3 linked regions of the Cricetulus griseus genome follow. The protein of the gene in region 3 interacts with the protein of the main gene of each other region in a pairwise test. Links are inferred from orthologs where the notes say so. Each region holds a gene or a part of one and is shown on either strand. Other genes may lie near its edges.

What was found.
Region 1: the proteins of Atp6v1d (region 3) and CUNH9orf16 interact in binary tests that used the Homo sapiens proteins (3 or more experiments, as listed by UniProt). The two-hybrid records come from large-scale screens. The link is inferred for Cricetulus griseus from reciprocal best matches to the Homo sapiens genes ATP6V1D and BBLN.
Region 2: the proteins of Atp6v1d (region 3) and Vps52 interact in binary tests that used the Homo sapiens proteins (3 or more experiments, as listed by UniProt). The two-hybrid records come from large-scale screens. The link is inferred for Cricetulus griseus from reciprocal best matches to the Homo sapiens genes ATP6V1D and VPS52.

Annotation. Positions count from the first base shown.
Region 1 is NC_048599.1:144,112,087-144,116,796, reverse strand, and holds the start of CUNH9orf16 (UPF0184 protein C9orf16 homolog), read left to right. Parts: upstream 1-1,715; 5' UTR 1,716-1,826; coding exon 1,827-1,905; intron 1,906-2,659; exon of another isoform or gene 2,660-2,993; coding exon of another isoform or gene 2,994-3,014; intron 3,015-4,354; coding exon 4,355-4,465; intron 4,466-4,547; coding exon 4,548-4,710. UniProt on the Homo sapiens protein: Essential for intermediate filament organization in intestinal cells, interacts with intermediate filament and regulates intestinal lumen morphology.
Region 2 is NW_023276806.1:232,050,480-232,054,689, forward strand, and holds part of Vps52 (vacuolar protein sorting-associated protein 52 homolog), read right to left. Parts: intron 4,178-4,210; coding exon 4,120-4,177; intron 2,825-4,119; coding exon 2,691-2,824; intron 2,381-2,690; coding exon 2,225-2,380; intron 1,812-2,224; coding exon 1,693-1,811; intron 1,379-1,692; coding exon 1,255-1,378; intron 1,100-1,254; coding exon 1,004-1,099; intron 915-1,003; coding exon 807-914; intron 649-806; coding exon 583-648; intron 105-582; coding exon 1-104. UniProt on the Homo sapiens protein: Acts as a component of the GARP complex that is involved in retrograde transport from early and late endosomes to the trans-Golgi network (TGN).
Region 3 is NC_048598.1:124,781,241-124,785,995, reverse strand, and holds the start of Atp6v1d (V-type proton ATPase subunit D), read right to left. Parts: upstream 3,249-4,755; 5' UTR 3,093-3,248; coding exon 3,052-3,092; intron 1-3,051. UniProt on the Homo sapiens protein: Subunit of the V1 complex of vacuolar(H+)-ATPase (V-ATPase), a multisubunit enzyme composed of a peripheral complex (V1) that hydrolyzes ATP and a membrane integral complex (V0) that translocates protons.

The sequences.
Region 1 (4,710 bases), on a different chromosome or scaffold from region 3:
CTGCTTCTGCTTCGAAGAGCTGGGATTAAAAGTGTGTACCACCATGTCCAGTTTATTTAAGTGGATGTTTTGCCTGCCTATGTGTATGTGAACCACATACATGCAGTTCCCTTAGAGGCCAGAAGGAGGAGCTAAAGTTACAGAGTATTGAGCTACCATGTAGATGCTGGGAATTGAACCTAGGTCCTTCAGAACAGTGTTCTTAAACTCTGAGCCAACTCTCCAGTTCTCTTATTTTTTTCTTTTAATGTGTGTGGTGTGGTATGTGTGTGTCTGTGTGTCTGTGTGTCTGTCTGTCTGTCTGTGTATAGATATGTGCACATGAGTGCAGGTGCTTGAGGAGGTCAGAGGCATTGGATTTCCTTGGAGATGGTGCTACAGGTGGGTGTCAACTGCTGATGTGGATACTGGGAATTGAACTGGGGTCCTCTGCAAGTGCACTGTATGTTCCCTCTCTCTAGCCTAGATCTAGTTTCTTGTGTTGGACTAAAGAAGTCAGTTTCCCATAACCTTTGCTGCTGTTGGTCTCTTCAAATCAAACTCTATGGCACAAATAGGGCTTTGTTTCCTCTTCCTGCTAATGCAGATATGAGTTTCCCATTGGCATTGAACAGGTTGCAATACATGGCCAGTTACAGCGGTATGCATGTACTCTCTTCCAGTTCCAGATTGAATTAGTTTGAATTAGCTTTGTGGTGTCCATGGGGTTGTGCTCCCTCTGGGGTTCTGGGGAAGAATCCACTTTCCTGCCTTTCCCAGATTAAGCCCCTATGCTGAGAATAGCCTGCACTCAGGACTAGCCAGGTGACACCAGGAACAAGCTGCTGGTGCCAAGGGGTCTCCTGGCTATTACAGATAGAGGAGTCCTGGTAAGTGAGCTTCCCTGAGACACCACCCTGACTCTGAGCTGGACTCAGGATTACACTTCTGAGTGCAATCTACAAGTGATTTTGGCTGGTGACTTTGTATGGGCCGCCTTTTCCCACCCAGTGCGTGGAGTGGGGAATGCCCCAAGCAGGGCTTTATCATGAAGCCTTCTCTGATGGACAGTGTCAAGCAGGGCCACTTAGCACAGACTTTCCGTGGCCCCGAGGGCACCTACAGCAGGATACAGCAAACCCTTTCCATACTGGGAAAGTGACATAGTCCTTGAGAAGGACCTCACACTCCTCTCCAATGCATGTCCTCCCTGTTTGTTGGCACGGGTCAAACACATTGGGTCTATATCTACTATCCAGGCTGGAATTTGGTCTGATCTCCACCCGTTAAGTGTAGCCTTTGAGAGCCTTAAGAGAAGTGATGGGAACAAGACTGGCCAAGATAGGACGAGGTCGTGGGTAATCTAGGCTGCACCTCAGGGAGATGGGAAGAATGCGGATTCCCGGGGACTGGGGAGGAGCGGTGCTGAGAACAGAGTTCTCTAGGCAGCCTTTGAAACCGCCTGTCTGATTCTGACCACGCAGAGGAGCGGAAACAGCAGGACGGAATCAAATAGAAGTCTCAAGCTCTAGCGGGCCAGGGTCTTTACTGCCTGGCTCGCTCCGTTGATCGCCGGGTGGGGGACAGGAGCGGAGAGGGACGCCGTTCGGAAGCGAGAGGAGGAGCCCGAGAGCGGACGGGAGCGGAGCCCTGCTTGAGGGCGTGGTTTGAGAGGATTCGGGGCGGGGTTCTGGGCGGGGCTCTGGGCGGCCCCGGTGCGCCGCTGCGTTCCACCCTTCCGGCACGGCGTTCCATCAGCTGCTTGCACCTTCCGCCTAGCTCCCGCTTTCCGCGCGGCGGTCGCTGAGTTTCATCTTTCCGTGGCCTCTGCGGCGCCCGAGCCCGCAATGTCGGGCCCCAACGGGGACCTAGGCATGCCGGCGGATGCGGGCGCGGAAGGCGAGAATGACAGCTTCGGGGAAGCAGGTGACCTGGGCGAGGGAGGGTGCTGCTGAAGTGACCTCTGCTTTGCTCGGGGTGCTGTCCTGGAATGGGGCCGGGATGGAGGCTGTGTAAGGGACTGAAGAGCCGTCCCACCCCTCCCCTGGGTGGTTCTGGAGTTGTCCCCACAGCCACCTCGGAGGCAATGGCGAGCACTAGTGAACGCATCCCTGGACGCCGCAATACTGGGGAACTGTCGCTAAGCAGCCCAGGTTACATATGGGGAAACTGAGGCGGCTTCAGACACGCTTTATCGGTTTGGGATTTGTTTCAGCCACTTTCTTCGCTGAAGGGGAGCAGGTTCTGCTTGGCCCTGCAGGTGTTGGCCTGGTGGGCGCCCCATATGCTGAGTCAGCACCCAGCCACCTGGCTTTGCTGGTGTGACCCGCTTACCAAGGACTGTGTTGGGCGCACAGCACTGCGGAAGGACTTCAGGGGAAGGGTCAGTCCACAGACTCCCTTTGCACGTTTTGGAGCCTCAGTTTTCCCATCTGCAATATCGGGTACATTGGTGTCTACTGTTTGGAGATGTGTCTGGATTAAAGGGAAAATGGGATGACTGTTCCCATTTGTTCCAGCATACAAGTTCCTTCTGAAAGTGGATAGATAGTCACACACACACACACACACACACACACACACACACACACACACACACACATTTCAAGTCTGGTCCTTACCCAGTGGGCAGGACTTGTGCAGTAAGAATGGAGTATGCTTTTGTTCTGTTATAAAAGCTTTATTGAGCTGTATGTCACACAATAGAGTTTACCATTTAAACAGTACAGTTCTGCAGACTTTCATATATTCACAGCATATCCATTATCACAACAGTTTTAGAATATTTTCATCACCCAGGTTCTGCTCTTAATGAAGGCTGCCTTCCAACTGGAGGCAGGTTGGGTCATTAGGCTTACAGTGGGCAGCCATGGTGGGGACATCATGAGGGGACCTGGTGAGGGGGCAGTGTAACACTGAGTAGACAGAGGGAGGAGGCTATCTGACCCAGGACAGGAGCAATGGTTGGGAGGTACTCTTGACATAGATGAAGCCTAGTCTGGAGACACCGCTTCTCACCTCACCGCTCTGCTAGCCTGCAAGACGTGGAAGGATGGATCATAACAGCTATGCATTAAATTCTTGCTGTGGCCAGACCCCAACTGAGCTCTTGGTGCACTGGAACCCTACCTCGGTGTTCCCTACTGCAATAAGGAGTTGCTGGGGTACAGCAGATCTGGAACTAAAACCTAAGGGTCTCTGACCTTCAGGTCTGAGTTTTGGCCCTGTCACCAAGTAGCTATGAGAAGCTGTTCTGGTTCCTTCTTTCTTAGGCTTCAGTTTCTCAATCTGTGCCATGAGGGATGGACTTTAAGACCCAGCAGTCTTCAGAGGCTCTATCCTCCTTGAGGGATGCCTTCTCTGGGAACCATCCCCCAAAGGCAGGCACGTTTGCAATCATATCCCAGACACCCTCCCTGGGCCTTTTTCTTAAATCCACCAGCTACTTCCCCACTGGTCCCAAGCTGGCAGCTAAGTGTTTCTGAGTCATGGGCTGGCTCAGAACTGTGTCCCGCAGTGGGCACAGACCCAGACCTTGGGTCCTAAAGGACATAGCATTGCCAAGAGGCATGTCAGAAGCTGATGTAGAGGAAAATAGGAAAGACTTCTCAGAGGGGGGAAGACTCCAAGGAGGAGGTATTTTGAGCTGGTCCTTGAAGGGCTGTTGTCGATGAATTCTAGATGGTAGACAGTTGAGCAAGAGCAGGGACTGGAAAGTCAGAGCTTCATTCATTCATCCATTCACTCATTCATTCAGTAAGTACTTATCTGTGTTGTCGAGGGCACTGGGGAAACAGCAGAGAACACAAGACCCGTCACCTCTCCCAGATCTTTCTAGTTGAGTGTGAGGTTGAGTACAGGCCAGCACCCAGATAGTCACAGTAGTGACTCCTGATGGGAAAACTGTGGAAGGTGGTGTCTAGAGGACCAGGACAAAGGCCTGATCCAGGGTGGGACGGCCTTGGTGATATCCATACCAAAACTTGAAATAAGTGGAATTCATCCCAGAGGGAAAGACAAGCAGGGCACCCAGTGTATTCAGAGGACCCGAGATAGGCTGAGCAGGTAGGAGGGGAGATGGGGATCAAGAGGGAAGTAGGGGCTGGGTCTGCTTCAGGGCCCAGAAGCTGCGGGGCACTATTGGGAAGGCAGAGAGAGCCACAAAAGGGCTGGAGGTCACATGCCTAGCACAGAGCCTTTGACTGCCCAGCTCTGGAACCTGGGTTCTGACTTCTAGGTAGCTGTGGAAGGAAACACAGAGGAAGCTTGGCATATGATAGGGCCACCAGCCAGGACACTGGCAGATTGCCCCAGCACCACACTAACCCTACAAAAAAGATGTGCTAAAGATGATTTGACACTTTGCCTCTTGTAGTACCTGTTAATTTCCTGCATGATGACACTGAGAATAAGAAAGTTGTGAGCTGGGACATTGGGTGCACTTGTCTGTCAGCCCTAAGGAGACACTGGACCTTTCCTCTCAAGGGTGAGCTGGGACACTGGGTGCACTGTGTCTGTCAGCCCTAAGGAGACACTGGACCTTTCCTTTGTCTTTTCCCTCCTCCCAGAGTATGCTGCCATCAACTCCATGTTGGATCAGATCAATTCTTGTCTGGACCACCTGGAGGAGAAGAACGACCACCTCCATGCCCGCCTCCAGGAATTGCTGGAGTCCAACCGACAGACACGACTGGAATTCCAGCAACAGCTTGGGGAGGCCCCCAGTGATGC
Region 2 (4,210 bases), on a different chromosome or scaffold from region 3:
CCTCGAAGTCGCTCAGCCTGTCCACGCTCAATCAAAGCCTCAGCCTCCTTCACAAACGCCACCAGACCCCCGAAGGGGGGAGACAGCAACTCTTCAATGAATTCCTAGAGAGAAGTGCAAGCTGGAACTGAGTCAGGGGTCCTGGGAACAAAGGACCCCAACATGGACTGGGAGGACTAGGAGGGGACACTCCACAGAGCAGCCGGCCTTGGGGAGGAGGGGAGAAGTGCTTGGTCCCCAGAACACAAAGTGGAAGAAGCAAGAAAGGAACCCAGTCCTGACATTGTCCTATGACCTCCATGTGTTTCACAACATGTGCCTGGGAGTGCGCTCACATATACGTACACACACACACACACACACACACACACACACACACACACACACACAAATAATGCCCTGCAAAGCAGGTGTAAACACACACATACATACATACTTATATACACACATACATACACCGTTATAGTTTTTTGCTTTTAAGTTATTAATTTATTGATAAATTAAATGAGACAGACTAGCAGCAGGCAGTGAGTTGTCACCATGACTGCACACTGAGGTCTCCCTGCCAAGCCCAGGCCCTACCTGTGTCCGCGCATTGAGCAGCTGCTGGAAACTCTCCACCTCTTTGCTGTCGTCAGCAGCCCGCTCCTAAGGAAGACAAAGAGTGAGGAACTTGGGAACAGCCTTCAGCCCAGCACCTCCTGTAATCGCACACCACACCGCAGACACTGCCAGAATCCAGGGCTAAAGCCCCCTTGGTGAGGCTGACGAGCATGGGCACGCCCCGTGGGGGAGGGCAGCATTACCATCAGCACACCCAGCATCATGTCGTAGTTGTTGATCAGAAACACGAGCTGCTCCTTCCTGGAGGAGAACTCCGCAGCCACTCGGAGGACAAAGTTCTCCACCTCCACCTGCAAAAGCCAAACAGAGAGCAAGTCAGAGACACAGGTCCCAGGGCCCCTCCCCATGCTGGGAAGCCTGCCCGCCCCGCCCGGCCCACCTGGAGCTGCCCCAGCAGCTGCAGGGTGCGCTCATTGGGGATGGTCTGGTTGATGCTGACAAGGGCAGACGAGAACTCGGCATAGCGGCGCGTGATCTAGGACCAAGGAGGGGAGACGCCCATCAGCCTGCCAGGCCGACATAACCTCCCAGCAGCCTCTGCAGCTCCTGTCCCCAGTCCCTCCTCCTGCAGTGGCCAGCCCACCGCTGCGTGTGACCCCGAGACCCCTTGTTATCCTCCCCCGCCCTCACATAGTGGGGCCGCGTGTCCAGTCCTCCGAGGCGCTGGGGGTCGGTGGTGCGGACACTCTGGACGTTCATCTCCAGGATCAGCTCAAACCGAGGCCACAGCAAGGCCAACACCTGCTCCCAGTACCTGCAGGGTCAGTCAGAACCAAAGGTCAGCAGGCTACGGGTGCTGGCAGGCCATGGGGGCACAGCACCCTTCAGGGGAATGTGAGCGGGTGTGTGTGTGCCTGTGTGTCCGTGTCTGTATGCACGGATGTGTGTGTGTGTGTGTGTGTGTGTGTGTGTGTGTGTGTGTGTGTGTGTGACAGGGATGCTGCCTTGGGGACACACACAGGATAAGGGTGAAGGACATCGGGTGAGGAGGAGCCAGGGGCAGGGTGGAGTTGTCGGTGTGAGATAAAAAGCTGGACCCAGCAGGCACCAGGACCAGAGCTCAGTGACCTGTCCAGAGCAGGGACATCCCTCTTCGATGCAATGCTGCGGAATCGGAGGACAATGTGGATACAGAGAAAAACAGCAATGGCGTCATAGCAGTCGGCCAGGTAGGACTCCAGGTGTTTCTGCGGCACAGCAGGCAGACAACTGAATGCTAGTTTGAAGTTCCAGTGGCTATGAGCAAATGGATGTGCACTTCTGGGGACAAGGCGCTGGCTAGGGAGACACCTCCTTCCTTGTCCAGGGGCCCTGACTTACTCACTGGCCTCAACTCTGTAAGCTCCTCACAGTTGAAGCCAGGGCTGAGCCTGGGATGGAGGTAAAGGATCGCGATTTAGAGGTCTTGCTCTCTGCTTGTGGAAACAGAGGAAGCAGCAGGTCCCCCGAGTTCTGAGGGTTTCCTAGGGGGCCATGTTGTGAGATAAAGGCTTGGACAACGTAGAACGGGACATCCTGCATTCAATACTGCCACTGTGACCCCACTGGACGTGGAGGAGCCCTGGGAAGGGAGAGTAAAAGCACAGAATCGGGGACTTACCAGAGTCATGGCGAGCGTGCGGCCCATGACAGCATGGAACAGGTCATGTGCAGCTGGGCCAGACACAACAAAAAATTCACAGATGAAAAGATACTCCCGGCAGGAATTGTCAAGGAGCGCGTAGTGCTGGCTGCGGAAGAGAGCTTCAAACGGATACTACGGGACAGAGAGAGGGGTGGATCCAACACTGACCCCGCAGATACGGGGGCTCAGTGTATCCCAGGAACCAGAGCTCGGAAGACCCCACACATACCTCACCTCCAGGAAGGGAGGGGCACCCTGGGGGCGCACAGGACACAAGGAAAGCCCACCCCACTGGCTGCGGCCATCCCCACATCCACTCCAGCTGCTGCCTCATGACAGCCACCCCACGACCAGTCTCCCTCTGCACCCTAAGCCCATGGCTCCTGTCCCCACAGCGCAGCAGGCGAATTGATCCCCAGCCACGGAGGGGGCCTCCTCATACCCTCTGCTCCCCACGCTGGGCAGTATGGGGCACCAGGATGGGGGCCTCCAGTTCGGTGGGGGAGATGACCGCACCACGGGTGCCCAGGGTGAAGATGGTGTTCCTGCTTCGGAGGGACGGCTTCGAGAAGAATCGTGAACAGCATCAGAGTCAGGGAAAACACTGAGAATGACCAAGCAGGCCATGAAGCCAAGACCTGAGCACTCTGGGAAGCTAAATATGAGCTGGACATCCCTTCCAGAACCAGGGCCTCGCTTCACCTGATACCTGTAATGGGCGTCAGGGATTCTACAAGCCCTCCGAAATCCACGTGAAAAACTGTCAGAATGATGTGAGCCTCTGGGAGGGGAGCTCTCGCTCTCTCTCACATCCTCAAAGGTTACATCCCAGACACAGGGTAAGCAGAGGCCTGTGGGCTGGAGCCAGGCATCCCCACTGTGAGCCTGACAGGAGGTGAGCCTGACTTGAGGGAGGTGAGCCTGACTTGAGGGAGGTGGAGCCTGACTTGAGGGAGGTGGAGCCTGACTTGAGGGAGGTGGAGCCTGACTTGAGGGAGGTGGAGCCTGACTTGAGGGAGGTGGAGCCTGACTTGAGGGAGGTGGAGTCTGACTTGAGGGAGGTGGAGTCTGACTTGAGGGAGGTGGAGCCTGACTTGAGGGAGGTGGAGCCTGACTTGAGGGAGGTGGAGCCTGACTTGAGGGAGGTGGAGCCTGACTTGAGGGAGGTGGAGCCTGACTTGAGGGAGGTGGAGCCTGACTTGAGGGAGGTGGAGCCTGACTTGAGGGAGGTGGAGCCTGATTTGAGGGAGGTGGAGCCTGACTTGAGGGAGGTGGAGCTTGACTTGAGAGGGGTGGAGCCTGACTTGAGGGAGGTGGAGCCTGACTTGAGGGAGGTGGAGCCTGACTTGAGGGAGGTGAACCTGACTTGAGGGAGGTGGAGCCTGACTTGAGGGAGGTGGAGCCTGAATTAGGGAGGTGGAGCCTGACTTGAGGGAGGTGGAGCCTGACTTGAGGGAGGTGGAGCCTGACATGAGGGAGGTGGAGCCTGACTTGAGGGAGGTGGAGCCTGACTTGAGGGAGGTGGAGCCTGACTTGAGGGAGGTGGAGCCTGACTTGAGGGAGGTGGAGCCTGACTTGAGGGAGGTGGAGCCTGACTTGAGGGAGGTGGAGTCTGACTTGAGGGAGGTGGAGTCTGACTTGAGGGAGGTGGAGCCTGACTTGAGGGAGGTGGAGCCTGACTTGAGGGAGGTGGAGCCTGACTTGAGGGAGGTGGAGCCTGACTTGAGGGAGGTGGAGCCTGACTTGAGGGAGGTGGAGCCTGACTTGAGGGAGGTGGAGCCTGACTTGAGGGAGGTGGAGCCTGACTTGAGGGAGGTGGAGCCTGACTTGAGGGAGGTGAGCCTGACGCGAGGCTCCCTGGTCCAGGATATCTTTCTTTGCTGTGTCTTCCACACCCATCAGATCGTCCTTCTCAGCAACTTCCTCGTACTAGAGAAAACAACAGAGAGCTCAACCATGGCT
Region 3 (4,755 bases):
ACCCACACCCAAACCCCCACACCCACACCCCCCACCCCCCCCCACACACACACACACACACACGGAGGGGGGAGAGAAAGTTGGACACGATTTAGGTTGATTGTAGCACTACAGATACCTACAAATTTGGAGCTCATAGATGAACTGACTAATAAACTAAAACTTGAGTTCACTCTAGATGTCTGTACTTCTGTGAATAGGAAGTTTTCAGTTACTGAGCTTCAAGAGCAAATGAGCTGAATATGAAGTAGTGAATGCCTGTAATCCCAGCACTTGAGGGGTAGAGGCAAGAAGACTAGAAGTTGAAGGTCAGCCTGGGATATATACATAGTGAGTTAGAGGCCAGCCTAGGATACATAAGGCTATCCCACAAAAAAAATAAAGAAAAAGAAAAAGAAAAAGAAAGGGAAGAAGAGGGAAAAAAGGGTGACTTGTCCGAACATTTACAAGAACCTAGACTTTACCTGACTTTTATTAACTCTAAGTTTTTGTGCCTTTTTTTTTCCCCCAGCTTGAGACAGGGTCTCATTTATCCCAGGCTGGTTTTGAATTCATGACCGTGACTCTGCTTCTTGAATGTTGGCCTTAAAGCATAAGCCACCATGCCCAGTTTTATGTGGTACTAGTGGCTGAAAGCCAGGACATTGTGCATTTTGGCCAAGTGCTCTACCATCTGAGCCACATCCCTAGGCCTTTTGGGCCTCCTTTGTTTCCACCTAAATTTGTTTCATTTTCTCTAGTGATACCTGAATGAAAGCAACATTCCACAGACAACAGCACCAAATGTATGCAAATAGAGTCACAATCAGTACTGTGTGATCTAGCCTAGAGCTGTTAAGCCTGTTCCTTTCTGTTACAGAGCTGCTCAGCCTTAGAAGAAAAGAACAAAGAAACAAGAAGTATGACCTTCAGCTAAAATAGTGACTTTGTCTCCTGCTGAATCAAACACATCTCACTGTATGACAAATAACCTGCTGTCAAGCTGTGGAAAAAATATTTACTTCCTACACCCGACTTCCTCTAGACCAGCTGAATGTTCTCAAATAACAGTTTTCACCCTCACACAACTATCCTTTTTCTTGCCTAAGCCCAAAGAAGCTCCTAGTCCTAAATTAAAAGTTCCAAAGTGATAATAAAAACGCATCAGCATTATGAATAGTGATTAAATATGGCCAGACATTATTTGAAAGAGTGAGACCACTGACAGCAAGGCAAAAAAAACAAAAAAACAAAAAAAAGTGAGCTCCATTCTGGTACATGAAGATATGCCTGGGTGTTTTAAAGAAGATGAAAAATGAAAATCACTAAGATTGGTGAGTCTACCCCTGACTGGGTCAGCTGCATCTGCTTGATGACAGACAAATTAGGATTCTAGTCTCCCACAGAGACACAGAGACATCATCCTTCTGGTCCATTGCCTTTCAAAGAAGGGTTCTCTTAGGTCCCTGACACATGATTTATACAAAATATATATCCAATTGGATATACCCATTAATATATGTTCTGTGGAAGAGAGGTCTAGGATCAGGTGTTAGCTGACACAAGTATTTACTTGTGTCAGCTTTGAGTTTTGTTTGCCTCAGGCAGCAATGGTTAATTTTACTTTTGAGGAGTTGGAGGATTCAACCCAGGGCCTTGTGTGTGCTAGGCAAGAACTCTGCCACTGGTTTCTAGAAGCCATGTTGGTGTCTCAGTAAAGCTTACATTACATGTTGAGTTTGGAAATCACCCCCTAGGGAAGTCTGGATCTTTATCTGTTTCACAGGCCTTGCATTTCTCCACAACTAGCCCATTTGTACAGTTAGTACAATCTGCCATTTCAAAGTCAGTGAGGTGAAGGCTAAAAGGGTTTTTAAAAAAATTATTAAAGCCAGGCGTTAGTGGTGCATGCCTTTAATCACAGCACTTGGGAGGCAGAGGCAAGCAGATCTCTGTGAGTTTGAGGAAAGCCTTGTCTACAGAGCGAGTTCCAGGATAACCTGCAAAGCAATACAGAGAAACCCTGTCTCAAAAAAAAAAAAAACCAAAATAATAATAATAATTAAAAGTCTTTCACTCATTCAGAACTACACATGCCCTGGCAGAGACAGAAATTCAGTCTAAGGTTTAAATATAACTAAAGAGTCTTCGGAGTCTGTGAGGAGGAAAGAAAAAGGATGAGGAAAACATTACAGTGTCACACACATACCCCACCCACCCCAATACAGAAGCTCAATGAAAAGACCTATAGATCAGAGTAAAAACTGACTTCCTTTTTCAGAAACAAGAGAACACAAATAAGAACAATCTGTAAGTTATTATGCATATTTGAGGAAAACTTCAAAATTTCCTTTACAAACGCCATTTTCCCCTGACAAAGCTGTCAGACCAAAACAGAAAGGCAGCCTGCAACTGAGCTGATCCCAAGGCGGGGATTCAAGGAACATTTCTGTGGACCTCCTATGCATTTAAAGATGCCTCCCTCATCCAGGAGATAGCTCATAGATTGGTGGGAGAGAAGATCCCACCACACAAATATCCGATTGACAACGTCTTGAGTGACACTGCTAGAGGTAGAAAAGAATACAGTTATCACGAGGTTGAAGGGGTGCTTCGGGAGCGCGGGTCTGTCTGTTCCCACGGCAGGTGACATTGGACGGGATCCAAGATTAAAACCGACAGCTGTGCTAGGTCGACTCATACAATGCCACTTCGGCTTAGGGGCTGTCTATACGCTTCCATTCCGTCTGACAGCTTTGGTCAAAACCACCTTTGCTTCTCCGTCTCCCCTCAGCACTGTGAGGCAAAGATGGTGATGACTCAGTTATGTAAACTGTGTGTGGGGAAAATGAGGAAAGCCCAGCAGGCGGACCCTCTTTCGTTTGGACTGGAACCACACTTTCCCCAGTCTGTTCCCTCAGGAGGAGCAGACGAGGGGGCAGAAGGACCCTGGGGGAAGCTCTTGAGCGGCCCAGAAAGCAGGGAAGCTCGCTGGCGGCCGAGGGCTCGCAGGGATGCGCTCCGGGAAGGTGTTCCTGACCCTGGAGCCACTTGTCCTATTCTTTCACTTACATTCGCGACGGGAAGATTTCAATCCGGTCTTTGCCCGACATCCTAACGGTGACTGTTCGGCTCGGGCCCCCAGCCGAGCAATCGTGACTGCAACACCGCCAGAACTGGCTACCACAGCGTCCTCCACCACGGGAGTCAGCTGACGGTGTCACTTGACCCTCTCGCGTTGCTAAGAGGCTACGGAATACCGGTCCCTACTTCCGGTTCCTACTGCGAGAGGACTGAGAGGGAGGAGAGGGCTGGACGCGAGGGACGCCCGGATGTGGAGGCGCGCACAGCCCGGAATTCCGGGTCCCTCCACAGCCCCTCCCGCCGGCGGCTCGCCGGTGCAGGTTGCAGCATGCTCCGAGTGACGAATCAGAAGATCACGCCCCTCCCCTTCCTCGGCTTCCCGTCTTTCGTTACAGCGCCGTCTGTCGGTGGACTAAAATTTAAACGTAACCATTCTGGAGCAAGAAGCCGGCTCTGTCCTCTTCTTTAAGCCCTGCAAGTTCTCTCCGCAAAATCTACCGAGCGCCGAGGACGCGGATTTTTCAGGCCGCCCTGCGGTTCACACCGCTCGCATTTGGAGGACCACGACTCTATGGTCGTGGTGACGAAGGGCCTTTTCTGTCGGCGCTTGCGCAGTGAGAGGCGGGGCCGCATGCGCGCTGGGCTGAGCGAAGCGCACGCTGAGGAGGTTCGGCGTCCGGGGCTGCTGTGCCGAGTCTCTTCGTTGCCATTAAGGAGCGCGGCGTGGGACCCTAGTTCGGGATTCACACCTACACCGCAGGTGACTGGCCCCGCGCCTCGCTCTCCCCGGGAATTCACTTTCGTTGTGTTCCGTGACAGGAGTGGTCGAGCGAGGCTAGGCCCCAGGCTATCAGCCCCGGTCCCCGTCCGTGCGCGGGAAGTGCCCGGACCCCGTGGTCCCCGCCCGCCGGTTCTTCCCTGGGTCTTCTCGCCGGTCGGGTGTCTAGTGCTGCGAACCACAAACGTGGGTTGTTGGGGCGGAGGGACCCGCGGAGAAACGTGGCCCCTAGATTCTTAGACCTTCTGGCGGGGAGGCCTCGGGGGGACGCCGCGACACCCCAGCCTTACCTGGCTCGGGACGATTGGGCGCTTTGCTTTTACCGGGCCTGGGAATTTGGACTTTTTTCCACCCTCCTTTTCCGCCCCAGGATACACCAAAACTTTCCCCTGACTCTGTGGACACTGAGGTTTTCGCTAAAGAACCAGTAGGATAGGTAGATCACCATGTTTAAGTTTTTTTTTTTTTAAAGCAGGTTCAAGGTAGTCCATAATATGACCATTAAAGTTGAAGATTGTGAAGTTTTCGTTCTAGTTATGCGTTTCGGGAGCGTGAAATCATCCCTGGAATTGAAAGACCAGGCCATATCGGGGCTTACTGGCCCTGTTTTTACTACTGCCCGAAGAGAACTGGCATCTTTTTTAATTATGGAAGCTATAAGCCTGGTATTAAGGCAAATTTAGGATGCTTCCATTTTCATTACGGAAGAAAAGGCATTGTTTCTTGAAGAAAGGGTGCATCCCCGAAGTCTTGATTTTTCTCCTCATTAAGTTGCTGTTGTGAGGCAGGGAACTCCACTGTTCTCAGCATTACATGAAATAGTAGTGCCTTTTTTTCAGTGCTTATGACGCAGGATGACAGGCGCTGACTCTCAGGAGGTGTGGTTGTACTGGTAAACTTCAGAGCTGAACAAG